Linked DNA regions of Mus musculus. The protein of the gene in region 1 binds, or shares a complex with, the protein of each later gene. Links are inferred from orthologs where the notes say so. Each region holds a gene or a part of one and is shown in the gene's direction. Other genes may lie near its edges.

Region 1 (3,500 bases):
TCAAAAAACAAAAAACAAAAAAAAAAAAAAAAAAAAAAAGAAACATACACACTATAGCTTCTGCTGGCCAGGAATGGACGAGGTAGCTCCTGCTGGAAGTTTATCCCTTCTGCCTGGGCCTTCCAAGTACTGAGATAACAGGCATGAACCACCATGTCAGGCTGTAAACTTACTCATTTTCCAGGTTGTTCATTGTCAGTTTATAAAAATACAATTGCTGTCTTTTGACAGACTTTCTATGCTGGAAATTTGAACTCAGATCCTTTAGCCTAAGCAGCAAGCCCTTTACTAAGCCAGCCTCTTGACCGATTTATTGGTTTATTTTGGTTTGGTTTTGGTTTTGGTTTTTGGTTTTTCGAGACAGGGTTTCTCTGTATAACCCTGGCTGTCCTGGAACTTACTCTATAGACCAGGCTGGCCTCGAACTCAGAAAGTGCTGGGATTAGAGGCGTGTGCCACCACGCCCGACTTGTTTTGTTTTTGAGTCTCACTGTGTAGCTCTGGCTAGTCTAGAACTTACTGTGCACATCAGACTGGCCTCAAACTCCCGTAGATCTGCCTGTTACCATGCTCAAACGGTATCCCACATTATTACATTATTATTCACTCTGATCATTGTGTGTGCTTTGTTTTTGTTTTTAAAGATTTACTTATGTAATGTTATTAGTACACTGTAGCTGTCTTCAGACACACCAGCAGAGGGCATCAGATCTCATTATAGATGGTTGTGAGCCACCATGTGGGTGCTGGGAATTGAACTCAGGACCTCTGGAAGAGCAGTCAGTGCTCTTAACCGCTGAGCCATCTCTCCAGCCCCAATGTGTACCTCCTTTCTACCCATATGGCTACTAGTATGTGTCATAATCTGAGGCTACTTATGTATTCTTATGCATTTTAAATAATATCTTTTGTTTTATGTTTAAGTGATGGCTGCCATCAGGAAGAAACTGGTGATTGTTGGTGATGGAGCTTGTGGTAAGACATGCTTGCTCATAGTCTTCAGCAAGGACCAGTTCCCAGAGGTCTATGTGCCCACGGTGTTTGAAAACTATGTGGCGGATATCGAGGTGGATGGGAAGCAGGTGAGTACAAGTCCCGCGAGGGAGAGTCGGTGCCATTGTGTGTTGGGTACTGTGTACACAGCGTGACCAAAATGTTAGAAACAGAAATCCATTTTCTTTCTACCACCTTTTTTGGGGGGGATTTGGACGAATTGATTGGTTGGTACTTGGATGTTGAGACAACTCAAGCTGGTTTTTGTTTTGTTTTTGTTTGTTTGTTTTTTGTTTTTGTTTTTTGAGAGTCAGGGTTTCTCTGTACGGTAGTCCTGGCTGTCCTGGAACTCACTCGGTAGACCAGGCTGGCCTTGAACTCAGAAATGCGCCTGCCTCTGCCTCCCAAGTGCTGGGACTAAAGGCGTGCACCACCACACCCGGCTGATTTTTATATCATTGTTGAACCAAGGCTGGCTTTGAACCCATGATTTTTCTGGGCTCCATCTTGTTTATTTTTGAATCAGGGTCTTATATATTCAGGATTTTCCTTCCACCACTTACTACATAGATAATTACAGGTATATGTAATAGTGCCCAGCTAGTGTAGTGGGTTAGACTAGCTGCTCTGCTCTCCAGAGTTTCTCATTATAGAGCACTTTTTTGGGCTAAGAATACAAATAATGTAGGGAATACAAGCTGGGCATGGTGATTCATGTCTGAAATCCTACAGTATAAATTCCAGGTCAGCTTGAGTTAGAGAGTAAGGTTGTCCGTTAAACTCAACAAACAAGTATGTATGTATATAGGTGAGTAAACGGCTCTCAGGATATAGCTCAGGATAGTAGTGACCGCCGCTATTCAGTCTCCAGCACCACATGAACCAGATGTGGTGTCACGGGTTTCTAATCCTAGTAATGGCAGCAAGAGACAGGAAAACCAGACATTTAAGGTCCTTTTCAGCTTCTCAGCTACATAACAAGTTTGAGGCCAGCCCGGAGAACATGAGGTCTTATTACAGTAAAGTATAAAGGTATTCCAGACTAGCATAAGACATAGTAGCATACACACATAATCCCAGCACTTGGCAGGCAGAGTAAACCCTGCCTCGGGGAAAGAAAGAATATTGGTGTAGTGATCCAGACCTGTAGTTAGAGCAACTTAGAAACTTGGAGCAGAGAGATCACAAGTTAAAATGAGCTTGACAACTTGGAGAAATCTCTCAGCCTTAGTGCGCACGCGTGCGCGCGCGCGCACACACACACACACACACACACACACACACACACACACACACTCACACACAGAGGACTGGTTATGTACCTGAACACCCTTGGGCTGGGGACATTGGAAACCTGCATATTCTTTGAAGGTGACCTACCTTTGCAGTGTCTTGCCACTTCAGTCTCAGTATTTGCATAGATGCTTAGATCCAAGTGTTTCTGTGGACCTGATGGGGACTGGTTTTTACGGATGTCACATATAAAACCATAGGTGGAAGTTTGCTGAGGTCTTTTTGACCTTTGACTGTTGCCATGATAGCCTTCTTGATTGAGATTTGCATATCTATAACTATAATTTCCTAAGTTTGGGAGTCAGCAGTATTTCCTCTTTGACATATTTTCTGAGCCTGGATATCTTGGATAAACCAGGATCTTGTCTATAGGAAATTTATTGATGAAACTGAGAATGTAGCTTAGTTGGTAGAGTTTTTGCCAGAGCCTGCATGAGGCCCTATATTCTCTTCTAGAATTTCATAAAAACTAGACACGGGAAGCACATACCTACAGAGTTGCCATTAGCTACTCCTGAATTTGGGGACAACCTAATTTTCCTGCAACCATGTCTAGAAAAGAAAAATAGCATGCTTACTTAAATCTTTGAGCAGGGCAGTAGTGGCGCACGCCTTTAATCCCAGCACTTGGGAGGCAGAGGCAGGTGGGTTTCTGAGTTCGAGGTCAGCCTGATCTACAGAGTGAGTTCCAGGACAGCCAGGGCTACACAGGGAAACCCTGTCTCGAAAAACCAAAATCAATCAATCAATCAATCAATCAGTCAGTCAATCTTAGAGTAATAATCCATAGTTATCTTTCCTGTGCTGTTATTCTTGAACACAGCTTACCAGGAAAGATAGGAGAGTCCTTCATTTAAGAAGACATCTCTGAAATAAGGGAGTTTGATCTGAAAAAGGGTATCCATAGGTATTGTCTACCTCAGAGCAATTCAGGAGCCACCGAAGGAGAAAAGTTACTTAGTCTATTAGTCAAAGTTTGATTTTCTTCCTTGGGTGGCCTTTTGTTCTCATAACATGTTAATCTAATAAATACTTTCATTATTTTTTTGAAATTATTATATAGTTAACCTTATTTGCCCTTCCAACTCTATCTAAAATAGTGGTTCTCAACCTTCCGAATGCTGCAACCCATTTTCATTGCTTCTCCATACCTGCGATTTTGCTTCTGTTCAAGAATTGCAACATAAATATTTGCTGTGCAGGATATTTGATAT
Region 2 (4,204 bases), on another chromosome or scaffold:
TTGAATATGCTTGGCCCAGGGAGTGGCACTGTTTGGAGGCATGGCCTTGTTGGAGTAAGTGTGTCACTGTGGGTGTGAGCTTGAATACCCTTGTTCTATCTGCCTGGAAGCCAGTATTCTGCTAGCAGCCTTCAGATGAAGATATAGAACTCTCAGCTCTTCCTGTACCATGCCTGCCTGGATGCTGCCATGTTCCTGCCTTGATGATAATGGACTGAATCTGTATTCCAGCCCCAATTAAATATTGTCCTTATAAGGGCTGTCTCTTTCATGGTGTCTGTTCACAGCAGTAAAACCCTAAAACAGAATTTTTCTAAATTGACATAAAACTAGCCATCATTGTTCTATATTTCATATTTTATGCTTTCAGTTAAAATCACAATGTTTTGTTTTACTATATACCTCTTATTTTTAATTTTCTTTTATTTTCAAGATTATAATATAATCACACCATTTTCTCCCTTCTCTTTTCTCCTTCCCAACTCTCTCCTATACCCCTTCTTGCTATCTTTCACATTCATGGACTCTTTTTATTAATTATTGTTACATAGTCAATATGTAACAATATGTTATACATATATGTTCCTAAATACACAAATACAGCCAGCTCAGTCTGTATGATGTTATTTGTATGTTTTCAGGGCTAGCTGTTAGTATTGGCTAACCAATGGTATTCCCTGAAGAAGACCATTTCTTTATCGGCTGAATGCAGTCTTCACAGTTAATCAGTTATATTTAGACATCTCCCAGTCATTCATTTAGATTGCCTTTAATTTTTCTATTATACACAACATCATTAATATCTCCCTGTATACAAGAGAGACTACATTTAAGACCATTAGCGATATTTAAAATCAGAGAACGTTTTTATTTACCAATCTTCACATAATAACCTGAGCAGGGTCCCTTGTTTCATGCTGCACGTTTTGCAGTCTTGCAAGCAGAGAAAGCAGCCCTTTCCATTCGGTAAAGCGACTGTGTCCTACTTACTGAAAGACAGGAGTACATAACTAGATTTCACTGGTTCTCTAGAGACATCCTGGAGAACAAAGTATTGTCTTTGGCAATTGGGAATATATTCCACATGTATAACTTAGTGTTTATACGTCCAACTGCCTCTTGCTTTGGGGTCAATACCTTCATCCTGTCTAACGCTAAACAACAACAAATGATAAACAGCTTCCGATCCATTTTCCTGCCCTGCAAGTGAAAGTTCTAGTGAATAGAGACTGCCTTTCAGGAGTAAGGTGTGTAGTTAAAATAAATCCCCAAATTCCTAACTTTCACCTTACCACTTTCCCTTTGTCACTGGAGCTCCTAAAAGTTTGGTATGAAGTCTTCTGATTAGGGCGGGACTCCACGTAGCCTAGCAACCGCTTCCCACTCTCTGATTGGCCGATCTCTGGGCAGCCGCCATTTTCAAATCCCCGGATGACGGCGGTAGCCGCTCTCTGCTAGAAGGCGACTTGCTGCCTCGCAGAAGCTGGCGGGCATTGTGCCCGCCACGATCGGTCTCCTGGGCACTGGGCCACCGCCCCACCAACCCCCCTTCTCCGGACATGGAGCCAGAGCCGGCGGCTCAGAAGCAGCCCCGACCTCGGAGGAGAAGCCGCAGGGTCTCAATGCTCAGCGAGGAACCTGCCGCGGGGCTTCCGGCCGACACACCCGGGCCGGCGGCGAACGAGAGGTGAGGGTGGCGGGAGGTGGGTGAGAGCCGGGGACCGAGTCTGGAGACTCAGGACGGGATGGACTGGACGGTGGGTGACCAAGGACTGGCAGTGCAGTAGGGGAGGTTGGGGAAGGCCGGGCAGAAATGCCGCGGGAGGAGAGTGCGCTGCCCGGCGGGCTGCACCGAGGGCTGCACAGCGACTGCTCGGCCCTGCGTAGAAGGGGTGGACTCGTTGGACTTGTTGACAATCTCCTTTAACCCCGTCCCTGGGGAACCGTACATCTGCACCAGAGCTGTTCTCTACCAGAAACTAGTTGTGGATGCAGGCGCTCAGATCAAGACTGTCGTGGACCCTGTGATGAGAAGAGGAATTGTCACCTGAACAGATACCAACCCTTTCAGCCTAAAAGCGGCTGTTCAAATGAAATGTCCTTTGCAGACCAGAACAGGACAGGCTCCTGGAATGAAGAGATCAGAGAAAGACTCTTTCTGGCTTTTCAGTTATTAGCACATTTTCACATTCTGTGTTGTATCTTCATTTCTATGTGTCTGGGAAAGGCAAACACTAGGTTGATTTCAGAAATCTGTGTCTGGAAGAGAGGCTGTGGGAGTCATAATATTTTTATTAAATAGGAAATTGAAATGGCATTTGTCTGGACTACTCTGTCATTCTTTTGCCCTTCGAAATATGAGAAATGGTCTCAAAGTACTGAATGCAATGGTTTCCCATTATAACGTTAGACATTGAGTTACAAAGTATGTAACTTTGTTCAAATCTACGTCTACATAGTGAGTTTATGATAGTGTCTGCCTCATATAAGGCACTGTGTGAACATCAGTACTTATCATGGGCCTCGGCAGAAAACTCGGCAGAAATCTTGTCTGTCAGTTTTAAATCTGTTAAAGTAACAGTGCTGTGTCTGCTCCATCTTTTCAGACATCCCCATGGTCCACTTGACATGATTTCAGGGTTTTTTTGGTTTTGTTTCTGAGACAAGTTCTCACTGTGTAACTTGGTTACCCCAGAACTCACTACCTGTGTAGAGACGCTGGCCACAAACTCATATTGTACTTCTGTACCAGAGCTGTTCTCCATGGAAACTGGTGGACTGTAGGTGGTCTTACATCCATAGGACTATTGGTGAGAAGAGGAATTGTCACCAAGCAGGCTCCAAACCGTTCTGCCTAAAAACTGGTCTTTCTTCCTTAGCCTCCCCCTGTTCTCGGATTGCAGTGTGAACCTCGACGCCCAGGTCATTTGATAGGATGTTAAATTAATCTTTTATATAGCTTATAATCTAATCATGACAAATGGTTTTGAGGAAAAAGCAAACACCTTACTTTCATTATCAAGGCATGGGCAAACCCATTGTATTAAGTAACTCTATAAAGAGCTAGATTCTTTCAGTTAGTACTGATTTTTATGAGTTTGAAGTTTAAGGCAATATTTACCAGAATTCTTGCCTTCTGAAACTTCCTCTCTTCCAATCAGACCGTGTGTTTAAGAAGTCAGAGTGCAGAAAGAAGGCATCTTTGAGACTGAGAATTACAAGAATTAGGATGGGCTAGTGAAGGAGCAGAAAAGGAGGACTTCCTGAAGATGAACAGAAGCAGTGCTTCATTCCACGTGTGCTCAGTGTAATACAGTTGCACCTGCCCTAGCATCAGACACTGTTGAGGATGATGGGGATTCAGGTGAACAAAAGCAGATGGAGCGCTTGCTCTCAGGAACCTTAGATTCTCTTGGGAGGCGTTGGTCACATCATGCAGTGAATTTAAGCCTTTTTGATTCTGTGCAGAAGAGGAAAGATTCTAGGGCCCAGAGTTGGTAGATGACTCCAAGGAAACAGTATCCTCCAGACATAAGAGCACTGATGCACATCTAAACTTACAGAGATTGAAGGAATGCACAAGACCTGCAACAGGTTCAAACCAGACAAGATCCTAGCACTGAGAATGGGAGAGTTGACACACCATCCCACTCAGAACCAAGAAGCTGTTTGCAATTGATACCTCCTGGGAAAAGGAAAATTGTTGTTTTGTTTTGTTCCAGTGGAGTATTGGTATATCAACCACACTCCAGAGCAAGGCCCATGCCCAGGTGTCTTGGTCACTGATCCATTTTTGTGAAGAGACACCATAATCGAGGCAAAACTTAAAGAAAAGGTTTAACTGAGCCTGGCTTACAGTTTCAGAGGGTAGTCCATTATTATCATCATCATGGGACGCATGTAAGCAGACATGGTGCTAGAGAAGTAGCCAGAGCGCTTTATCCCCATCTGCAGGCAGAAGACAGTCTGACAGGGCCTGGCATGGGCTTTTGAAACCCCAAAATTCATCCCCAGTGACATACTCCTTCAACAAGGCCACACCTCTTAATCCTTCTAATCCTTTTCAAGAGTTTGCATTCAAATATATAAGCCTATAGGTGTTGTCTTATTTTCAAAACTTACTTTAATAAGGGTTCTTAAATGCTTCAACCTCCATTCTAACCTACCACCCACCAGAAGTAATGAAAAGGTTAATAGGGCAAAG
Region 3 (4,060 bases), on another chromosome or scaffold:
TCCAAGGGTTGATTAGAATCAAATACAGGTTGGACACCTACTGAAGGCAGTGAAAACCATAATCAGAAACCTTTTTCAGCCTGTCACCCTACAGTCAGTGAAAAACTGAATTGGGAAATGCCCGTTATTTTCATATCCCACTTTAGTTGTAATAAAAACCACGATTTTAAATTTTACTAAATGCCCTGAAGTTGCAGAATCTCACAGACAGGACAGAACTACAAGTTGCTGTGAGAAACGAATAGAAATAGCTTACAAACATTGATTTTCCTATGAATTTTTCCTCTTTAATTAAACTGTTTTTGAGTTCTAATGATTCTATCTTCCAGAGTCAACATTTTAAGGCTCCCTTGACACACAGCTTGGGAACGCTGAGTGCGTGGTGATTTTCCCACGTAAACAGATTCTGCGTGGTGGGCATCAAGAAAAACCCACCAGAGTGCTCCGGAAAATCCAAACTCGACTGGTGCTGAAATAACTCTCTGGTACCGCCAGAAGAAAAGCACCCTCCTAGCCCGCAAAAAGTAATTATCTCAGTGATAACAAGCGCCTTCTTTTCTTGTCAGAATTCTCCGGACCAGAGGCCCAAAGGAAGCGAATCTCGGGCGCCTGCCAGCTCCGCCACCAGAAGCTGGGAAAAGTCCCCCCCCTATGTCTTCCAGCTCGTCTCCGACTCCGCCCAGGGGCCAGCCTGCCAGGCCCCGCCCACGTACGGCCCCGCCTCACTTCCCTCCTCCCCGACGCGACCCGGCCAGCCCCGCCCTGGCGGGCGCCTGCGTGCGCGTGCGCGAGGCCCAGCTCGCTCCCTTCCGAACGCCCGCGCCGCGCATGCGCACAGAGCGCCGGCGGTCTCCGTTTGTTTGAACAGGAAGGCGGACATATTAGTCCCTCTGAGCCCTCCTCGCCCCACCCCCAGGCATTCGCCTCCGCGACTCGCCCTTTTCCCAGCTCGGACCGCGGCCCCTCCCAGAAGTTCCCGCATCATCAGCCGCACGGCCCCTACGGTCGTCTTCCTCGCCGGCCCACTGCAGCGGGTCTTCCCCTGAGACTTCATCGGGCCTCCGACCTCGCCCTGCCCCGCCAGACACCGCGTTAGCAACCCCAGCAGCGACCGCAGAAAATGGGAGAGTGAGCCTGTTCTGTGGGGAGCAGCTCTTGGCCGAGGCTAGTCAGTGCCGGGCCGAGTGGAACCGGGGATGCAGGGCTAGACCACCTCTAGCGCCTCTGAGCGGAGCGGGGCCGGCCCGGGGCCCAGGCGGCGGCGGCGGCGGCGGCGGCAGCTGGCGCAGCTCCTCACCCACCCTTCGCTTTCGCCTTTCCTCTTCGCCTTCCCTGGCTGCCCCGAGGGAGTCTCCACCCTGCTGCGCTCCCTCTTCCCGCCGCTGCCCTTCTCTGGACTGGGCCCCGCCATGGCGAAGGCAGCCGGGGCCCGCTAGGCTGAGGTGCCTCGCCGGAGCGACCGGGCTGCTGGCGACGGCGCTGTCGGCTGTCGCGAGGGGCTGCCGGGTGGGATGCGACTTTGGGTGTCCGAGCGGCTGCGGGTCGCTGTCACACCGAGCCTGGGGTCTGGAGAGCAGAGGTCCCCTCAGTGAGGGGGACGAGGGGGAACCGGGCGCACCTGGTGACCCCGAGGTTCCGGCTCCTCTGCCCTGCGGCTACAAACCCACCGCGGAGGAAGTTGGTTGAACTTGCTTTCCGCTGCGGGCAAGAAGGTATCGTCACAAGTAGCAGCATCATGTCGACTGGGGACAGTTTTGAGACTCGGTTTGAAAAAATCGACAACCTGCTGCGGGATCCCAAATCGGAAGTGAATTCAGATTGTTTGCTGGTGAGTGCTGCTGTTTTCTCTGGGTTGCCTTGGGTGGTTGGTTGCAATCTAGTTAACTGCAAGGAGTCTCAGGTGTGCATAGTTTTGGGCAGGTGCCAGATTTCTCTCTTGCAAGAAATTTGGAGCACCAGTAAATATCATAGTTCAACCCCCCACCTTGGTTTTTTTGTTTGTTTGTTGGCAATTCCAGTGATTCTATGTTAGCTACTCTGAACTTCTGGTTTTGAATCAGCTTCTCAGTCCACCGAGCGTACTTAGAAACTACGATTGCAGCCATCGTATCAGGACGTCAACACGTCAACGTTTCTATTGTATAGCTTGTTGAAAGACAATCTTAGTATTAACCTCCCTGGTTAGTTTGACAGTAGGATTGAAAAATCTACTTTCTATTTATAGAATTATGGAGTTTAGACTTGGAAATGATAATGGAAAATTAATACAGAGGAAATGATTTTTAAGATAAAATTTTAGGTGTCTTGAGGCTAAAGAAACTGTTGAACGTTAAATGCATACACCTACGACAACTAATCTTAGGCCAACACAAGTTTGGTGGCTTTTAAAACAGTTAGTAAATATATTTCACATATATTAAGAACTGTTTTTTGCTGGTAGTAAACTAATTATTTTCACTTTAAAACATTCTAAAGTTTTTAGGTCACAAAAAGCCAAAATCCTACCATAAGAAGTACCCAGTTGTTGATAGCAAATACAATTATTTGTAATAATGGGCATTTCAGTACTGCCAATACAATTGTCAACGGAATTTTTCCGTTTACTACCAACTAAAAATTATATATTAATACTTTTAGTTTTTAAACAAAATCACAAGATCTCTAAAATCATATTTCTCTATCTGGACATGAGATAGAGAATTTACTTTGTATACTCAATAGTTTGGAGATTTAAGAATAATGCCATTCAGAGAGATACATTTAAAAATCTCATACTGAATCAGGAAATTTTGTAAATTAAAATTAGTGAATATTTCAGTTATTCTGTACTTTAAATATGTAAGGTTTCTCATCAAAGCTTTCAGAATTGCTCTAAACATACTTAACTATACATTTCTAATGTATTCCATGTCTGATAGTGTTTCAGTAGTTCCGTAAGTTGTTGTTAGGTTTATTACTGTTGTTAGTGGTACTGACAGTTGAGCCCAGCACATGCTAGCTAGGCAAGCACTCCACCATCAGTCTGCTCACCCGATTTTACTTTTGCTCCTCCTATTAGGAAGTAGATTATAAGGAGGGTTTTGGAGCTTGCTTTTTTTTTTTTTAATTGCTAGTTTTCTTTTTTGTTACAGTACCATTCAGTAGGAACCTGATAGAGCTGTGGGGAGTATAAAGAAAATAAATACATATTACATGGACTTTTTAGAGAGTTGAATCCACTTAGGAAAACATTCTTATATACATATACAGAAACCAAGTAAACAGTTTACAGATTGAGAAAACAACTGATTAATTCTAAATGATTATTCAGTATTTTTCAATCAATCACTTGTCTATATAATGGAAACTGAAGGGGAAAAAATGACTGTGAGTTGAGAGAGCCAGAGTGTGTTTTATGATGAACTGGCTACTGAATTGAGGATAACAGATAGAGGGTGAATGGGCATCCGTGACTGGCTGTGACATGCTTAAGAAACAAGGTAAAGTTGGAAGGATGGGGTTAGATTTGGAGGATTTGATTGTAATTGGGCTGTCACAGAATGAATGAAGAAAATTAATTCATTAGTTCTTTGTGAGATAGGTTTGTATGGAAAAAGTCTGGGAATAAAGTGAGATTGGAGAATTTTTAGATTACTCTAATAGTCCTCACTCAATTGGAGCCCTGAGCTAGGACATGAAAATGAAGAGGGAAGAATTGATGGAATGTGATTGAGTTGAGGAGAACCAGAGAGGCATTAGTCAAACAACTCCAAAAATGTTGAGCCTGGGTTATAAATAGTAAGAATGGTGAAAATAATAAAGTTTGGGAATTGCTTGAGAATAGACCTACTGATAATTTGCTGTATTTGACAAGATAGTGAGATGAGTGTGCGGTAATGTCCTGTAGACTATTGTAGATGTGGAATTAACTTACAATAACAAATTATGACTTGGAAGTCATTTCTATAGATTACAAATTGTAACTGATACAATGAAAAGGAATACCCTAGAGAGAGATCAAAAGGTGATAGGTAAAGAGTCAAAGAAGCAACCACTCAAGGTCCTCATTGCTAAGGTAGTC
Region 4 (4,224 bases), on another chromosome or scaffold:
AGAAGAAAAAGAAACAAAAGAACAACAGCAACAGAGGGATCAACAAAGGCTTCTTTTACAAACTTTTCCGCTAACAGGCTTGAAAACTACTTGTGTGTGGTGTGTTGATTCAGCCAATCTCCAGTTGACTTTTTCACATTGAAAATATTGATGTTCGAGAAAAGTGTTATTGCTTTTATTTTTTATCTTCGGGACTTCGTAGTTCTTCAGTGGAGAACACTCTTCTTTGGGACCTAAGGTTCTGCAGTGTGACATCAGAGGATATGAATACAAGTGTCAATACTGCAAGGCCAATGTCAGGTCCTTTATAAAGAAGGAAGGGCAGCGTTTGCCCTAAGACAGGGCTAAAGACCTCAGACCCTGGGTTTTGTTTTTTTGTTTTTGTTTGATTTGTTTTTTGTTTTTTTGGTTTTTTTTTGCCATCCTGCCATTCTTTAGGCTCTGGTTAAACAGGTATGTTAGGAGGGTGGCCCAGGGCATCTGGCAGTGATGGTTTGGGACGGGCCAACACATCTCTCCTGTCCATGTAGTCGGTCTGTCTTCTTGAGAAAAATAAAGGTAATATTAAAGGAACTTAGAAAAGTAGACGCTTAATTTTATCTTTAAAGCTGGAATAATCATCTTAAGCTTATTTTATAGTAAGCTGTACAATGGCGAGACTTTTCACTCGGGACAACTCAGTGCTAAGTGCCTCAGTGCTTTAAGATCCAAGGGGTCCTTTCACATTGTTAGGTGTTGTAAAAGTGGCTATGGCTTTCTCAAAAACAAACAAACAAATGTTGGTGCCGTTTAGGCACCTGTTTGCATAAACGCATAGGGAATCGAGCCTGCAAAGCTTTGGGCCAGAGGAACCTCCATCATCCTCATGAATTAGAGGGAGTCGGCTGTTTTAAAATAGTACTTCCTATTGTAACAGACCCGGGCACTATTATGTCCCGGGTGTGGTGGCTTTGAGCTGAGGACAACCCGAGCCTCCCTCTGGCCTGGCACGGCTCCCTTTAGGAGCCGACCGGCCAGCTCCTTCCTCCGGCGCCACTAGGGCGTGGAGGCCCCCGGGGCGAGCGGGCGCCGCCGCCGCTAGGGTGCAACCCTGCCCTGGCCCAGCAGGTCCCGCTCCGTGCCCGCCGCCGGAGGAAAGCCGAGGCGACCGGCCGCCGCCCCGCGAAGGGAGGGGGCGGCGGAGCCGCAGCAGCTTCAGGTTTCCTCCTGGAGCTGGTGGCGGGCGCGGCCATGTGATGAGGCGGCGACGAGCCCGGCTGGCCAGAGGTGGGCAGGCGGGGACCAGGGGGCGCAGGGGGTGGCCCCAGCTGTGGGCGCGGCGGGCGGGCGAGCGGGGGTGGGGTGGGGTGGGGGGAGCTGCGGCTCCGCCCCTCGGTGCGGCCAGCGGAGCGGAGGGGCGTGGGCAGCTGGGGACCGGCTTCCCCGCTCCGGGCGACGCTGGCCGGCGGGTCGCCCTCGGCAGGCCTCGGGGACAGCGCCTGGCCAGGGCTCCTGGCGTTCCCGAGCCACAGCTCCAGGTAAAGGCGGATTACGGGAGCCATCCCTCTTGTCTCCCCGCAGCCCTGGGCGAAGTTTGCCCACCGGAGTTCTCAGGGGACAAAGTTTCTCTAGGGTCCCCGAGGACGCAGGGGTCTGCAGAGGTGGTGAAAGGCTGCACTCTGTCGGCTGGGCAGCCCGAGGAATGGGCGCCGCCTCCTGGTACCTGGGGATGGCAACAAGTGCATGGCGCTGCCGGGTCGGAGGCAGCAGCTGTGAAGCGCAAACGGGAGGCAGCGGCCACCCCTCACCCTCTCGGGCAAGCGGGGTGGGAGGGGGCAGAGGGTGACGGAGCTCAACCAAAGCTAGTTGCAAGCGATGGAAATCAGAGGCAGGCGGCTGGAGAAGGGTGAACCTCGAGAGCCTGGTTCTCCTCTTCCCATCTGTGTTTCTGGCCAGCTTCACCTATATGCTTGGTGTGTGTGTGGGATGTACCCCAGACTGCTGGTCAGTCTCAAGTTCAGGACATTTATTTCTTGTGGAAACGTTTGCTGAGTTTATAAAAGCATCTATGGTCATCTTGTTTGGGAGGGGCTTTTAGCATTGGGTGGGAATCCGTGCGCTTGTGCCATGAGTTTCTCTGGAATACTCGGTTGTGGGTGGTAGGGGTCACAGGTGGAGAAGGCGTTCTCGCTTGCTGTGAGCTCTGTGAACGCTGGGTGTTCAGACCACCCAGGAAACCCAGCTCTGGTTTCCCAGACACCAGTTAGGTTTCTAAGGGAGACTACTTTAGGAGCCCACAGAGCCTGCCTATTGGTTGCAGCTGGGTGGGCCCAGGGGAAGGGTAACATCTGTGTTTGCTAGCATCTGACTCCCTGACCCCTGCTCAAGTGCCAGCCTCTACACACTCCAAGTTGTAGAGATTGAGCACTCGATTCTGCACCAAGCAGTCAAGAATTACAGTTATAAAGAACGGACACACTGCTTTTCTGTACTTTGCCCTCTCGTGTTCCTAGACCCTGAAGCTGTCTCAGTAAAATGAAATTCTATTCTCAACAACACAAACAAAATCAAAGGCTTGCCCTAGTTAGGCTCTGTGGAAACCACTTTGAACACGATAATTCAAGCTCTGATAACCTTTCCTGGGAAGCTTTCCATAGCTCTATTTTGAGTTTTTATGTGAATGTTAAAACAAATAGGTGTTTGTCTAATCTTGATGAATAGTAGCGCTAACTCCTTTGGAGTGTTTGAAGGAAGAGAACATTGCAGATGCCTTTTGGAGAGGTTGTAGCATTTCAAAGTGATATTCCGATGCAGACTTTATAGTGATTATGCATAATTATTTTTGATTATAGAACTTGGATAGCATCATACTTGATACTTTGTGGTTTGGGAAACTGAGGCACAGAACTAGTTCTTGGGTAAGGGACTCTGGGGCGTGTCCCGGCTAATGTGACATGAGACTGGAGAACAGAGAATCAGTGTTTGCTCTGCTTTGGACTGTTTTTTCCCTTATCAGGGCGGCACAGCCAGGCCAATGGCCAGCAGTTTGTCTAACAGGTGTGTTGGAGGGACTTTCCTCTGAAGTACCGTCTGCCTCTAAGCGGTTAAGAAACACTTAAAGGTACAGAAGGAAATCAGAGTCGGCGACGAAGGTTCTGTGATATCTCATTAGCCCTGTTAGGGTTTCAATATATATATATAATTTGGAAAATTCTGAAATATTTTCTTATTGTGTTCTCATAAGGAACCATTCTTGTGGCTAAGATTTCCACTGGGCAGGAATTTCATATGTGTTTGATACATGTGACTCTCTTTCCCTTGTATGCCATGTGAGAAGAGGAAAAAAAAAATAACAAGTGGGTATTAGTGGCCAACTATACTATTGAAGATGAAGTATTTGATATAAAATCGGTACTTAGGCTCTTAACCAAGTTCTGCCAGAGTTTGTGATCAAGTCTTGATTCTTAAAGAAAAAAGATGAACAGTGTAAATGTTGGAACCCTCTTCTTTGCTGGTAAATGGTTAGGAGAGAGCCAAATAGAGCCTGCATGTCTCCCACAGTCCCAGGGGGCTGTCATTTTATTCTGCCTGAATGCCCTGGGTTTGGGGTATTATTGAGACAGCTCTGGTCTGTGTAGGTTTGGTTTCACTGAAGTTGCACTTGTGTTACTTTCAGTGGGAAAAAGAAGCTCCGGGCTTGTCCCTGTGACTTCAGGTCAGATTTAGTATCAAGAGTGGGGTCATGCTGGACTAAATTAAAAACAGTAGTAGATTTGAAGCCCAGAAACTCAGGGAATTTTGTCATGTTACAACTGTATTGGAAACATGACACCACCCCAAAGGCTTGGGTTTGAATCTCCTGCTTTGGTAAAGCTGAGCTTAGAGATATTTTTCTTGCTTACCAGGAGAGGTTTTTGCCTGGAGCAGATTATACTCTGTAATTTCATCCAGCCCTGGTGACAACTGTCGTTATAATGGTATTGAAACTATATTGTCTAAACTTAATCGGACATTTTGAAAATTTCTCCTGCATGCTTCTCATTCTGTGAAAAGTTTCTTCAGTTTTCATTCCTTCAACAAATCAGAGGAATTGCTGTGTGCTCCATGCTGCTCTTTGCCTTAATCCCCTGGGTGGGTGACTTCAGGCACAGAGAGACACTTCTGTCACTTTTGTGTTTTTAGGATTGGTCCTGCTTTCAGAATGGATTTTTGCCTGCACCACAATCAAGGCATCTGGCTGGGGAA
Region 5 (3,500 bases), about 65 Mb from region 1:
TGCATACACACATCTTCTTATACACATGCAGGCCAGAGGCCAGCATCAGGTGTCTTTCTCACATTATTATTATTATTATTATTATTTTTACTATAATTAGTTTTTTTATTGGTGTGTTTCATGTATACTTGTGCTAAGATGCAGAGGGCAAGCAGTGGAAGTCAGTTCTTCCACTGTGTGGGTCCCAGGGATTGAATTCAGGTTTTAGGCTGGAATAACAAACTCCTTCCCTGCTTAGCCATCTCCCTAGCCATCCATGTTATTATGTTGAAACCAGGTCTTTCACTGACTCTCAGCTCAGTCACTGACTTAGATCAGCTGACCAGTGTGCTCCAGGGATCCTCCTGCATCTGCCTCCCCGCCACACCCACTGTGCCCTGCTTTTATGTGGATGTTGAGGGCCCAAGTTCAGGTCCTCAGTCCTCATGCTTATTTAGCAAGCATTTGTCTGTAGGAACTCTGCAGTCATCCCACCCCTCCCCATATTCTTTATCCCTTTAGTTTTACACAGGGTTTCACGTCAGCCATGAATTCAGCATGTCATTGAAAATGACCTTAAACTTACTGTCTTGCCTGTTTCCTAATTGCAGAGATTAAAGGCATCTGCGACCGGCCATATCTAGTTTTATGAGGTGCTTTATGAGGTGCTGGGATGACGCCCATAGTTTCATAAGTGCTAGGCAAACACTTCGTCTGCCACATTGCCAGCCCTTGTCTGTTCACACTTGTTCTCTTAGATGGCTGCTTTAAACTCTAGTCTCCATCACTTCTCTCCAAGATTCCTCAACAGAAGACTTTGTTTTTTATTTTACTGATTTTTTTATTTTCATGTATGTTTGTTGTCTGTGAGGGTAATGTACCACTTGTGTGTCAGGGACTATGGGTGACAGAAGACAGGGTCAGGCCCTAAGTGAACTCTGCGAGATCACATGCTCTTCACCACTGAGCTGTCTCTGCATCCCAGCTCTGACCCTGCTGCTTTCCTGGAAAGAGTGTAAAGTGTGGATGGATCACCTACTTCCCTCGAACTGTGCATCTACCTGCCTGCCTGCCTGTCGGCTGCTCAGGAGCTGTGCCAGCAGCAAAGTGTTAGGAGAATCCATACTAACGTATTGATTCTTCTTTCATGTGACCAGTCAAAATTATATTACTCATGTCCATATGTAAATGAATTAGTTTTTATTTGATTTCTTGTGGTGCTAGAATCACACCCCTGTCTCAGTGCACTCAGCAAGGCTGTGCTGTTGAGCTACACTGCTAACCCACATGTACTTTTTTGCATGTGTGCTAAAAGAACATTTCTGTTTTCTGTTTCTCACGTCTTTCCCTTTTCCATATCATTGAAACAGAGTCTTTTAGCCCAGGCAGGCCTTTGGCTTAAGATTCTCCCATCTCTGGTTCCCAAGTGTTGGGATTACAGACATGTATGAACATGTCTTGCCATTTCACTCTTCTTAGGGGCCAGAGATGGCTTGCTCAGCGGTAAGTGCTTGTTGTGCAAGTATAAGTACTTGAATTAGATGTTTGCACCCACATAAGGAGCCAGGCGTGGCTGTGCACACTTGTACTCCCAGCGCAGGAGGGAAGACAGGGAGACAAGGATTCCAGGGACTCTGCAGCCAGCCAGGCTAATAGATCAGTCAGTATCAGGTTCAATGAGAAACCCTGTCTCAAAAGAATAGGGTAGGGGCTGGTGAGATGGCTCAGCGGGTAAGAGCACCCGACTGCTCTTCCGAAGGTCAGGAGTTCAAATCCCAGCAACCACATGGTGGCTCACAACCATCCGTAACGAGATCTGACTCCCTCTTCTGGAGTGTCTGAAGACAGCTACAGTGTACTTACATATAATAAATAAATAAATCTTTAAAAAAAAAAAAAAAAAAAAGAATAGGGTAGAGAGTGATAGTAGAAGCCAACATTGGCCTTCACAGATGCATGCATGTACAAGTGTAAATACTTACACACATGTGCACACATCACATACACACACCAAAATAAATTATGTAATGGTCTCATAATATTTTAACACTGACTTATTTTCAAATTTACAACTTTAGATCTTTATAAGAATTATAAATTTAGGAAATATATGACTTTAATAGGTGTACAGTATAAAATTTGTATAAGAACCAAGATATTTCCTCTGAATACAAAATAATAAGATTTTCTGTTTAGTTATTGGGTAAAGAACATTATAGTCTGATAATAATTCTTCATGCTTATGGGGAGAAATCCTGATAGAAAGAAGTGTATCTTAAAATAGTTGCTTCAGTTCTACTGCAGGAACTACTGATTATTACTGATTGTTGTTGAGAGTTTAAGACTCAAAAACTCAACATAACATCCAGTACTTTTTCATCGGCAGTGTACTGCTGAGGGATTTAACAGTTAGCTAAGAACATTACTGATAATCACGTGGTCTGTAGGATGAGCCGCTCAGATTCAGACATGAACATCATACTTATGTGAGTCAAGTTTTCCTATATAATAGACGCATAGCTTAGGTTTACTTGTATCATTTCAGGTAATGCATAACTGATTATATTGACCAGCGTTTATAGTAAGCTGATGTCAGATAGTTACGTGGAGTGGTACCGAAGCATTTATTTTGCTGCCCGATAAAATGGCTAGTTCTTTGTTCACAGCAGAACTTTGGGGAAAGAGTTTATTTCCATGTCTAAGCAATAGACAGGGCTGTGTCACTTGGACGGGCAAGAACAGCTGGATTAGCAAACACCTTTAGGATAAACCTACACACCTTCCTCAGTCTGCCCCGGAAGCCTGCGGGGCAGCTCTGACTCTGCTTGTGTTGTTTCAGCACCTGAAGGTTCCAGTTCCTGAGGAAATCTCCGTGGATCTAGGTAAGTTTGAAGCACCCGAGTCCCTGAAGATTAGTGTCTCCATCAAACTGTGGCTCGCCTCAGATCCGCTGTTTTATGTTAGTTTAGTCAGGCTACTTTAACCATGTGACTCACAGCTGAAAGAGAGTCTACTACACTGAGAGGATGAAAGGATGAGAGCTGGCTTCTGACAGGAAGTGCAGTAACTGCACTGAGTAAGTTCTCTGGTGTAGTAAGTTCAGTGTGGATGTGCAATGTCACTGTGCTGCCAGTGTCAGGCTGCATAGACCATCTCTTTAGATCACTTAATTCCTCTTCTTTGTGCAGAAAAGAGAAGACCTGAGCTTATTCCTGAGGATCTGCATCGCCTCTACATTCAGACAATGCAGGAGAGAGTCCACCCTGAAGTTCAGAGGCACTTGGAGGATTTCCGGTAAGCTGGGGTTAGAGAAAACTTGGTGTGCTCATTGTGAGTTATTTGGCTTATATTTTTAAATAGGAAAAAGCTACATATGTAAACCATATGACCTTAGCCCTGTCGTTAAACATAGTGGGCATCTGAAGTCAGAGGGTGGATGAGAGTCCATAGTCTCCATTCAGGCCCTTTCAGCATGGAGGTGGCTCAGTGCAGCATCTTGACCCTCAACTTGTTAGGTCAAA
Region 6 (3,500 bases), on another chromosome or scaffold:
ACTCCTTCTTCTAGAGTGTCTGACACTCCCTTTTCTGGAGTGTCTGAGGACAGCTACAGTGTACTTACATATAATAAATAAATAAATAAATCTTAAAAAAAAAAAGAGCTTGGGACAAAGCTGAGGAGCCCAGGAGAAAGTCCACCTCATTTACAAAGATTATATACAAGGTTCTGAAGAGGCCTTCACTGATTTTTTTATTTTTTATTATTTTTATTATTATTTTTTTTTCTTTTTGGTTTTTTGAGACAGGGTTTCTCTGTGTAGCCCTGGCTGTCCTGGAACTCACTCTGTAGACCAGGCTGGCCTCGAACTCAGAAATCCACCTGCCTCTGCCTCCCGAGTGCTGGGATTAAAGGTGTGCACCACCACGCCCGGCTTATTTTTTATTTTTATTTTTTTTACAAAAATTAGTCTCAGCTGTGAACAAAGCCATATTAGACTATCAAGCAAGACAGGTGTTGATAGAGGACTTGGTTATGAAAATTTGAATACCAAATGTAAAAAAGTTATTAGACCATTAAAGGTTCAAGCAGTGCCTATAGATGATTGGATAAGGGATATGACCAATGTTGGATCTAACATGTGCCATGCTAATATAGTAGGTCAGGTTTAGCTATAGGTGTCCAATATCAAAATGCCTGGTACTTCAATTACAGGAAATTCAGTCATTTGCAAAGAGACTGTGACTAAGCCGCTAAAAGTCTTACATCTCAAAATGCCTGGTGCTAAATTGTGGGAAATATTGTCATTTGAAAAAAAATTGAATGAGGCATCTGTATAAGGAAATGTGTTTTCTAAATATAAACCAGAAGGAAGGTCCAGTCTCCAGGAGTGTGCAGGTGATGTGGCAAGAATTGCTGTTGGACTGATGAGTGTGTCGGACCAAGAGAGTTATCCAGGGCAGTTTCTAACTATCCAGAATTGGCCCTGCGGCCTATCTTGAGGCCACACAGAAAAAAAGTAGGAACAGTTTGCTTCTTGTCAGCCGGGAAATAACAAGCAGGCAGAAAAACCTCAATACTCAGCAAGAGAGAGTCACCAGGTTATAGGAAAAACCATGGAATTAAATCAACCGATATACTATAAGAACATCAGAGCGGAAGCCAGTGAGAGCTTTGCCTGGAGGATGCAGATGTGTTTATATTTCCACAGGGAAGCAAAAGCTGTGGGTCCCATCAGAACTGATCAAGATAGGAACCCAGCAGGAGAGGGCTCCTGAAAGTCTTGGCCACGGACCCGAAAAGCACTTATTTCATTGAAAATGTCTGTTTATAATCTCCCGCTACACACAGTTCATGGCTTAAAACAGAAGGGAGAAACGTAGTGACAGCTTTAGAGTTTTGGTTTCTTTAAAAACACAGAAATATTATAATCCCAGGAGTGGAATATGGGCTGCTCCAGACTGTCCACAGCAGCTGACTATGATTTGCCTCATGCTCTAGCAGGGGCACAGTTTTGCCAGCTGCAGATAGTTATTGCAATTGGTGACATTTGGAGTTCTGGGGACTTTTCAGAGGGTACATAAATCAGCACGGCCCCAGTCGGCAGGGTTGGCGGTTGTTGGTCATACAGGGGGTTGATTGCAGTTTGTTAGTAGTCGTGCTCAAAGGAGAAAGGAGAGAGAAATTAGACCCAAGGATCCCGATCCCTCTCTCTGTCCCTGTCCCTCCCCCTCTCTCTCCTCCTCCCCTTCCCTCTCCCTCTCTCCCTACTGTTTCTCTCCCTCCCCTCTCTCCCTCTTTCTCTCCTATCTAGTGATGGGGGTGAAACTGAGGGGATAAAGGGTGGAAAAAGAAGAACACATGAAGTAGCAAAGACCAGCTACACTGAGTTGTTGGGTAGCAGAGCTGGGACTGAAGCCCATGGACTGCCTGCCTCTGCACTGGCCCAGGAGGCTGGGACTATGTGTCCTTGCTCTTACCTGTTATGATGTGGACAGCAGCTCAGACTTGAGTTCCCACTCTGCCTGCCACCTTCCATGTCTGTCCCCAGGACCGGAAGCTGTTGTTGACAGCCCAGCAGATGCTGCAGGACAGTAAGACCAAGATTGACATCATCCGCATGCAGCTTCGAAGAGCGCTCCAGGCACTACAGGCTGGAGAGCTGGAGAGTCAGGCAGCTCCTGATGAAGCCCAAGGTAAGACCCTTCTTGGACATTGGCTGCCTGCATTCAGCCTTCCAGGGGTCCACCTGCAACCCACAATGCCTATTCCTGTCTATTTCTGGTTGTTTCATTCAAGGTTTGGGCTAGGATAGTTGTTGCCAAACGCCACCCTCAGGCCAAATCCACCTGATTTTTTTCCCTCCCTCCCTCCCTCCCTCCCTCCCTCCCTCCCTCCCTCCCTCCCTCCCTCCCTCCCTCCCTTTTGTCCTTCCTTCCTTTTGTTGTGGTTAGGGTGGAATCCAGGGACTCCTATAAACTAGGCCTGTGTTTTTATCGAACCGTGACCCTAACCCTTCAATGATAAAATCTATGTGGCACTGTAGTACTTGGCAAACCCTATCCCTTGTTTTTAGGGTTGTTTTAAGATTTATCTGTGCCTGTGTGCATGCATGTGTGCATGTGTGTGTGCAGGTGCCTCAGGAGCCAGAAGGAGGCATCAGATCTCTGGAACTAGAGTCTCGGGTGGTTGTGAGTCATATGCCGTGGGTCTGGGTAAGCAGACTCCTCTGGAAGAGCAGAAAGCTTTTCTATAATCAAGCCATCTCTCTAGCCCCACCCCTGGTTGCTTTCAGTTTAGTTTTGAGACAGGATCTTTCTATAATAGCCCTGCCTGTCCTGGATCTTAGTATGTAAACCAGGCTGGCCTGTGACTCACAGAGGCAGAGTTCTTCCTGCCTCTGCCTCCTGAGTGCTGGAATTAAGCGTTTGTGTTACCATATCGAGCCTGTGATTGCGTTTTGAGATAGGGTGTCATTATGTAGCTCTGGCTAGCCTTGATCTATGTAGACCAGGCTGCCTCTAACAGATCGCCTGTCTCTGCCTCCATCCCCCACTCTATCCCTTTCTTTTTCTTTTTCTTTTTTTCTTTTGAGAAAAGATTTCACCCTGTGGCCTAAGCCAGACTTGAACTCTCAGTCCTCCTGCCGTCACCTGTGAGTGTTTGGAACCACAGGCTTGCACTGCCAGGCCCACATGCCTTTGTAAAGAAAGTTTTACTGGCATGTTTTCATGTTTGGTTTTTACCACATGCACAGAGCTGAGAAGTGGTTACTGAGCCTTGGTGAGCCAGGCGTAGTGACACAGGCCTCTCATCCCACATGCCTTTAATCACAGCACGCAGGGGGCAGAAACAGGCACATCTTTGGGAGTTCCTGGCCAACCGGGGCTACATGGTGAGGCAAAATAGAATAGAATAGAAACAACCATCACAGATGCCAAGGGCTGTCCTACTCACACTGGCCCTGGACTTGTGGTAATTCTCCTGCCTCAGTCTCCCAGATGCTATGGTTGATTACAGGCATGTGCTAATATGACCAACATTTTTTCTCTTGTT
Region 7 (3,500 bases), on another chromosome or scaffold:
AGGGTTGAGGGCACCAGGGTGGGCAACACCAGCTCAGGGCCCCAGGGCCATAAACAGGTGTGACCAAGATTGCCAAATAGGGACATGCCCTGCAGAGTTGAACACAAAGGGCAGAAGAATCTTAGGTCCAGGCCGGAGTAAGGTTTGACCATCCCCACCCCTCCAAACATAGTGTACCTGCCTGGCAGTCTGTAAGAGGCTGGCTGTGGAAGGCAGGACCCTCTGAGTCCTCCTTCCCTCCCTGATCCCTGGGTCTCAATTTCCCCTCCATTACTGGAGCTCACTCACAGAATTCTACCCATAGCTTATAAAAAAGGCACCACTGACTGCACCTATATGAACTGATATCTAGGGACCACATCTCTAGCCCCTGAGACCTTTGCTGGACTGAAGGAAGGGAGTGTGGAGGCAGAGGCAGGCTGCCTACACAGGACCTCTTGGCTGTGGTACTGACAGATTGAGGCCAGGAGTTGTCTGTGGGGACATCCTGCATCAGAATGTTGAAAGTTCTCACTGGCCCTTCCCATCACATGCTAGTGGCCTGACAGGTCAGTGGTTTGCAGGATGGAGGGTCAGTGGATGATGGATCTGACAGGTGAATAGGTATAGAGATGATGGATCAGAGAGATAGAAAGATGATGGACTAGTGGGCTGGTAGGTGGTGGATGGAAAGTCAGGTTGATTGGAGATGGACAGGTCCCTGGATGATGAGTAGATGGGTGGACTAATGAACAAGTGGATGGATAAGAGAATGGATGAAACAAGGGATAGATGCACGGAACAGTGCATAGCTCTCTTACCTCTCTGTGTGTATTTGCTGGGATGAGTAAGACTAACCCCACCTGGGTTGAGAGTCACTACACTGGGTCTGAGACCCTCTGCATGGTGCATGTTAGTAACACTGTGGTCTGTGTCTCACAGGGAGAGGCGCATCTCTTTCTCCACCAGTGACGTCTCCAAGCTGTCCCCAGTCAAGGTACAGGTAAAGCTGTTAATGCCCCATACACATGCATTCATTCATATATTCATACATACATACATACATACATACATGTACACACACACATACACATTCCCCCCAGTATACACGTCCTCCCCATAAGCACACACGTGTATACACACAAACACACACACACACACACACACACACATGCTGAGCGATCTCGACAGTGTATACCTATCATCTTGACACTTGGGAGGCAGAGCAGGAGGGTCACACATACAAGCCCACATGCTTCCTAGCAGCCTGACAGCCTTTCTCTAAAGGTAAAATGAGAGGCTGGTGGGATGACTGAGTGCTTAAGAACACTTGCTGCTCCTGCAGATGACACAAGTTGTGCTCCCAGCTCCCATATCAAGTGTCACAATCTCTAGGGGATCTCCTTATGACCTCCGTGAGCACCTGCACACATACGTAATTTAACAAGAAAAGTCTTTGCCAGGTAGTAGTGGCACACATCTTTAATCCCAGCACTCAGGAAGCAAAGGCAGATGGATCTCTGAGTCTGATGCCAGCCTGGTCTACAGAGTAAGTTCCAGAATAGCCAGGGCTACACAGAGAAACCCTGTCTCAGAAAATCAAGATATAAAATAGAATCATTAAAGATAGAAAACTCATCGTGGTGTTGATGGGTGAAGATGGGGAAGTTTGATCCATGTCTGGGCCCCAGCTGTAACTCTCACCCTGCCCTCCCTACACCTATCACTTGGCAGACTTCAGCTGAAATCGATGGGGACTTTAGCAGCAAGAAGCCATCCATCCATAAGAAGAAGTCAGGAGATCCATCCGCTGGTCCTGATGCAGGCCTGTCTCCAGGCTCCCAGGGTGACTCTAAGTAAGTGAACAGGGTACCTCCACTAGAGACACCCAGGGCCCCGCCTCAGCTCTGCTAAGCTGGTTGCAGCAATGAGGCTCCCATGTCAAGTGACTCACAATGAGACACATTGGGCTCAGTAGTTGTTTGAAGCACAATTCCAAACAGCCTTGCTGAACACCTGCCCACTAACCTTTCGCACCTGGCTGGCCACATGGTGGTGGTGCCTCAGGAAGCCACAGCCAGACCAGGTCTTCTGCTCTGATGACACACAGATGGACGAGTCTGCCATCTAGTATTGCCTGTGAGGAAACACCATGACCATGGCAACACTGATAAAAGAAAGTGCTCTGCTCACACACAGCCCAGCTGCCAAGGTTGTCAAGGCCCCTGTCACAGCTGGATGTGCAGACGAATGCCTTTAACCTAGCACTTGGAAGGTCTCCAAGTGCCAGGGCAGCCTGATGTATATAGTAAAACCCTGTCTCAAGGGAGGAAGGGAGGAAAGAAGGAGAGGGAAGAGGAGGGAAGGAGGGAGAGGGAGGGAAGAGGGAGGGAGAGGGAGGGAGGGAGAGGGAGGGAGAGAGAGAAGACTAGAGAGAAGACTTCATGGTTAAGAATACTTGCTTCCAGAGAGATGACTTCTTTGTGGTTAAGAATATCTGTTTCCAGAGGGCAGGCATTCAGTTTGTAGCACCCACATCTGGTGACTCAGTCTTTTGTCACTGTAACTCCAGAGGGATCCTACACCCTCCTTGGGCCTCTGAAGGTGCTATACTCACATAGCAGACCCCCACAAACACATACATACCCATCAATAAAAGTTAAAGTTAAAAAGAAACACTTGTTTTTCCTGCAGATCTGCATTTAAGCGGCTCTTCCTGCACAAAGCCAAGGATAAGAAGCCCAGCCTGGAGGGTGTAGAGGAGACAGAGAGCAATGGAGGGCAGGCTGCACAGGAGACCCCGGCCAGGAAGACTCTAGACGGTTGGTTCCCCTTAACCTCCAGGAGCAGTTGCCTGGCCGTACCCACAGCCGTCAGGTGTTAGCAGCAGGACCTGACCTTGAGATGACTGTGGACCTGGGTATACATCTGGGTGCCTATTTCTGACCTTGCCTCCATCTGCCCTATGTCCCTGCAGTACCTTCTAGCCAGCAGCACCGCCATACCACAGGTGAGAAGCCCCTAAAAGGGAAGAAGAACCGAAATCGCAAAGTTGGCCAGATCACAGTGTCCGAGAAGTGGCGAGAGTCAGTGTTCCGTAAGATCACTAATGCCAATGAGCTCAAGTTTCTGGACGAGTTCCTGCTCAACAAGGTAAGCCACTGGGATGTCACTCGTTAGCCGTGTCCAGGCAGGCCTGGGTTCAGGGGATTAAACAATACAGAAGACTCTAGGGATGCTGAGAGCACAGGAGGCTCCATAGCACTCAGGCCAGACCTGAGCTCAAGTCAGCTGGGCACATGATGAGGTCTACAGGAAAAGAGGAGAGGTGGCGTAGGGCTGAAGGCACTTGCTGCCAAGCCTGATGACCTGAGTTTGATGCCCAGACCCACACACTGGAAAGACAGTCAGTTCCCACAGGTTGTCCTCTGACCTCCATTCATGCTGCAACATGCATGTATGCACACACACAAACTCCTTTGGATCAAAAAAATAATATTGCAGTATTTTGCCTGTGTGTG

What was found.
Region 2: the proteins of Rhoa (region 1) and Net1 are in contact, whole or in part, in a crystal structure (PDB 4XH9), measured with the Homo sapiens proteins. The link is inferred for Mus musculus from reciprocal best matches to the Homo sapiens genes RHOA and NET1. Residues at the interface, in NP_001300870.1 of Homo sapiens: Arg5, Lys7, Tyr34, Pro36, Thr37, Val38, Phe39, Glu40, Asn41, Tyr42, Val43, Asp45, Glu54, Trp58, Ala61, Gly62, Gln63, Tyr66, Asp67, Arg68, Leu69, Arg70, Leu72, Ser73, Pro75, Asp76, Pro96, Thr100, Pro101, Glu102; in NP_001040625.1 of Homo sapiens: Glu177, Ala178, Glu181, Gln270, Leu271, Lys274, Lys281, Gln291, Leu294, Glu295, Arg300, Lys301, Leu302, Asp303, Trp305, Ser306, Asp309, Arg312, Ser313, Arg314, Val316, Lys317, Leu320, Leu321, Glu324, Gln347, Leu350, Ser351, Ile353, Asn354.
Region 3: the proteins of Rhoa (region 1) and Rock1 are in contact, whole or in part, in a crystal structure (PDB 1S1C), measured with the Homo sapiens proteins. The link is inferred for Mus musculus from reciprocal best matches to the Homo sapiens genes RHOA and ROCK1. Residues at the interface, in NP_001300870.1 of Homo sapiens: Val38, Phe39, Asp65, Tyr66, Arg68, Leu69, Leu72, Pro75; in NP_005397.1 of Homo sapiens: Lys999, Val1003, Asn1004, Leu1006, Ala1007, Met1010, Asn1011, Arg1012.
Region 4: the proteins of Rhoa (region 1) and Arhgef28 are in contact, whole or in part, in a crystal structure (PDB 6BC0), measured with the Homo sapiens proteins. The link is inferred for Mus musculus from reciprocal best matches to the Homo sapiens genes RHOA and ARHGEF28. Residues at the interface, in NP_001300870.1 of Homo sapiens: Arg5, Val38, Phe39, Glu40, Asn41, Tyr42, Val43, Glu54, Ala56, Trp58, Arg68, Leu69, Leu72; in NP_001171164.1 of Homo sapiens: Lys1140, Ile1142, Arg1144, Glu1145, Val1146, Ala1147, Asn1148, Glu1149, Phe1154, Ile1156, Ala1158, Ser1159, Ser1160, Pro1163, Glu1164, Met1165.
Region 5: the proteins of Rhoa (region 1) and Arhgef12 are in contact, whole or in part, in a crystal structure (PDB 1X86), measured with the Homo sapiens proteins. The link is inferred for Mus musculus from reciprocal best matches to the Homo sapiens genes RHOA and ARHGEF12. Residues at the interface, in NP_001300870.1 of Homo sapiens: Arg5, Lys7, Thr19, Lys27, Val33, Tyr34, Pro36, Thr37, Val38, Phe39, Glu40, Asn41, Val43, Asp45, Glu54, Trp58, Asp59, Ala61, Gly62, Gln63, Tyr66, Asp67, Arg68, Leu69, Leu72, Ser73, Asp76, Glu97; in NP_056128.1 of Homo sapiens: Pro766, Asn768, Gln770, Glu790, Val791, Glu794, Thr798, Ala801, Cys888, Gln891, Pro892, Lys899, Arg922, Arg923, Leu924, Gln925, Lys927, Asp928, Pro931, Thr932, Met934, Gln935, Thr938, Lys939, Leu942, Leu943, Asn946, Arg968, Leu971, Asn972.
Region 6: the proteins of Rhoa (region 1) and Pkn1 are in contact, whole or in part, in a crystal structure (PDB 1CXZ), measured with the Homo sapiens proteins. The link is inferred for Mus musculus from reciprocal best matches to the Homo sapiens genes RHOA and PKN1. Residues at the interface, in NP_001300870.1 of Homo sapiens: Met1, Ala2, Phe25, Ser26, Lys27, Asp28, Gln29, Val43, Asp45, Ile46, Glu47, Gln52, Glu54, Thr163, Lys164, Arg168, Glu169; in NP_002732.3 of Homo sapiens: Glu40, Arg43, Arg44, Ile46, Arg47, Leu50, Lys51, Lys53, Glu54, Glu57, Asn58, Arg60, Arg61, Leu77, Arg78, Ser81, Leu84, Asp85, His88.
Region 7: the proteins of Rhoa (region 1) and Myo9b are in contact, whole or in part, in a crystal structure (PDB 5HPY), measured with the Homo sapiens proteins. The link is inferred for Mus musculus from reciprocal best matches to the Homo sapiens genes RHOA and MYO9B. Residues at the interface, in NP_001300870.1 of Homo sapiens: Asp13, Gly14, Ala15, Glu32, Tyr34, Val35, Pro36, Val38, Phe39, Gln63, Glu64, Asp65, Tyr66, Arg68, Leu69, Leu72, Asp90, Glu93, Asn94, Glu97; in NP_004136.2 of Homo sapiens: Glu1731, Gly1732, Arg1735, Lys1736, Ser1737, Gly1738, Ala1739, Ala1740, Arg1744, Lys1772, Gln1773, Arg1776, Arg1840, Met1841, Ala1845, Ile1848, Ile1849, Pro1852, Cys1853, Arg1856, Pro1863, Leu1864, Ser1866, Met1867, Val1870, Thr1874.

The regions. Positions count from the first base shown.
Region 1 is NC_000075.6:108,326,660-108,330,159, forward strand, and holds part of Rhoa (transforming protein RhoA precursor), read left to right. Parts: intron 1-924; 5' UTR 925-926; coding exon 927-1,082; intron 1,083-3,500. UniProt on the Homo sapiens protein: Small GTPase which cycles between an active GTP-bound and an inactive GDP-bound state.
Region 2 is NC_000079.6:3,915,421-3,919,624, reverse strand, and holds the start of Net1 (neuroepithelial cell-transforming gene 1 protein), read left to right. Parts: upstream 1-1,404; 5' UTR 1,405-1,559; coding exon 1,560-1,687; intron 1,688-4,204. UniProt on the Homo sapiens protein: Acts as a guanine nucleotide exchange factor (GEF) for RhoA GTPase. May be involved in activation of the SAPK/JNK pathway Stimulates genotoxic stress-induced RHOB activity in breast cancer cells leading to their cell death.
Region 3 is NC_000084.6:10,178,993-10,183,052, reverse strand, and holds the start of Rock1 (rho-associated protein kinase 1), read left to right. Parts: upstream 1-1,260; 5' UTR 1,261-1,735; coding exon 1,736-1,828; intron 1,829-4,060. UniProt on the Homo sapiens protein: Protein kinase which is a key regulator of the actin cytoskeleton and cell polarity.
Region 4 is NC_000079.6:98,203,366-98,207,589, reverse strand, and holds the start of Arhgef28 (rho guanine nucleotide exchange factor 28), read left to right. Parts: upstream 1-1,424; 5' UTR 1,425-1,517; intron 1,518-4,224. UniProt on the Homo sapiens protein: Functions as a RHOA-specific guanine nucleotide exchange factor regulating signaling pathways downstream of integrins and growth factor receptors. Functions in axonal branching, synapse formation and dendritic morphogenesis.
Region 5 is NC_000075.6:43,001,219-43,004,718, reverse strand, and holds part of Arhgef12 (rho guanine nucleotide exchange factor 12), read left to right. Parts: intron 1-2,818; coding exon 2,819-2,861; intron 2,862-3,167; coding exon 3,168-3,273; intron 3,274-3,500. UniProt on the Homo sapiens protein: May play a role in the regulation of RhoA GTPase by guanine nucleotide-binding alpha-12 (GNA12) and alpha-13 (GNA13). Acts as guanine nucleotide exchange factor (GEF) for RhoA GTPase and may act as GTPase-activating protein (GAP) for GNA12 and GNA13.
Region 6 is NC_000074.6:83,685,680-83,689,179, reverse strand, and holds part of Pkn1 (serine/threonine-protein kinase N1), read left to right. Parts: intron 1-1,995; coding exon 1,996-2,140; intron 2,141-3,500. UniProt on the Homo sapiens protein: PKC-related serine/threonine-protein kinase involved in various processes such as regulation of the intermediate filaments of the actin cytoskeleton, cell migration, tumor cell invasion and transcription regulation.
Region 7 is NC_000074.6:71,349,214-71,352,713, forward strand, and holds part of Myo9b (unconventional myosin-IXb), read left to right. Parts: intron 1-921; coding exon 922-982; intron 983-1,713; coding exon 1,714-1,835; intron 1,836-2,673; coding exon 2,674-2,801; intron 2,802-2,956; coding exon 2,957-3,132; intron 3,133-3,500. UniProt on the Homo sapiens protein: Myosins are actin-based motor molecules with ATPase activity. Unconventional myosins serve in intracellular movements. Binds actin with high affinity both in the absence and presence of ATP and its mechanochemical activity is inhibited by calcium ions.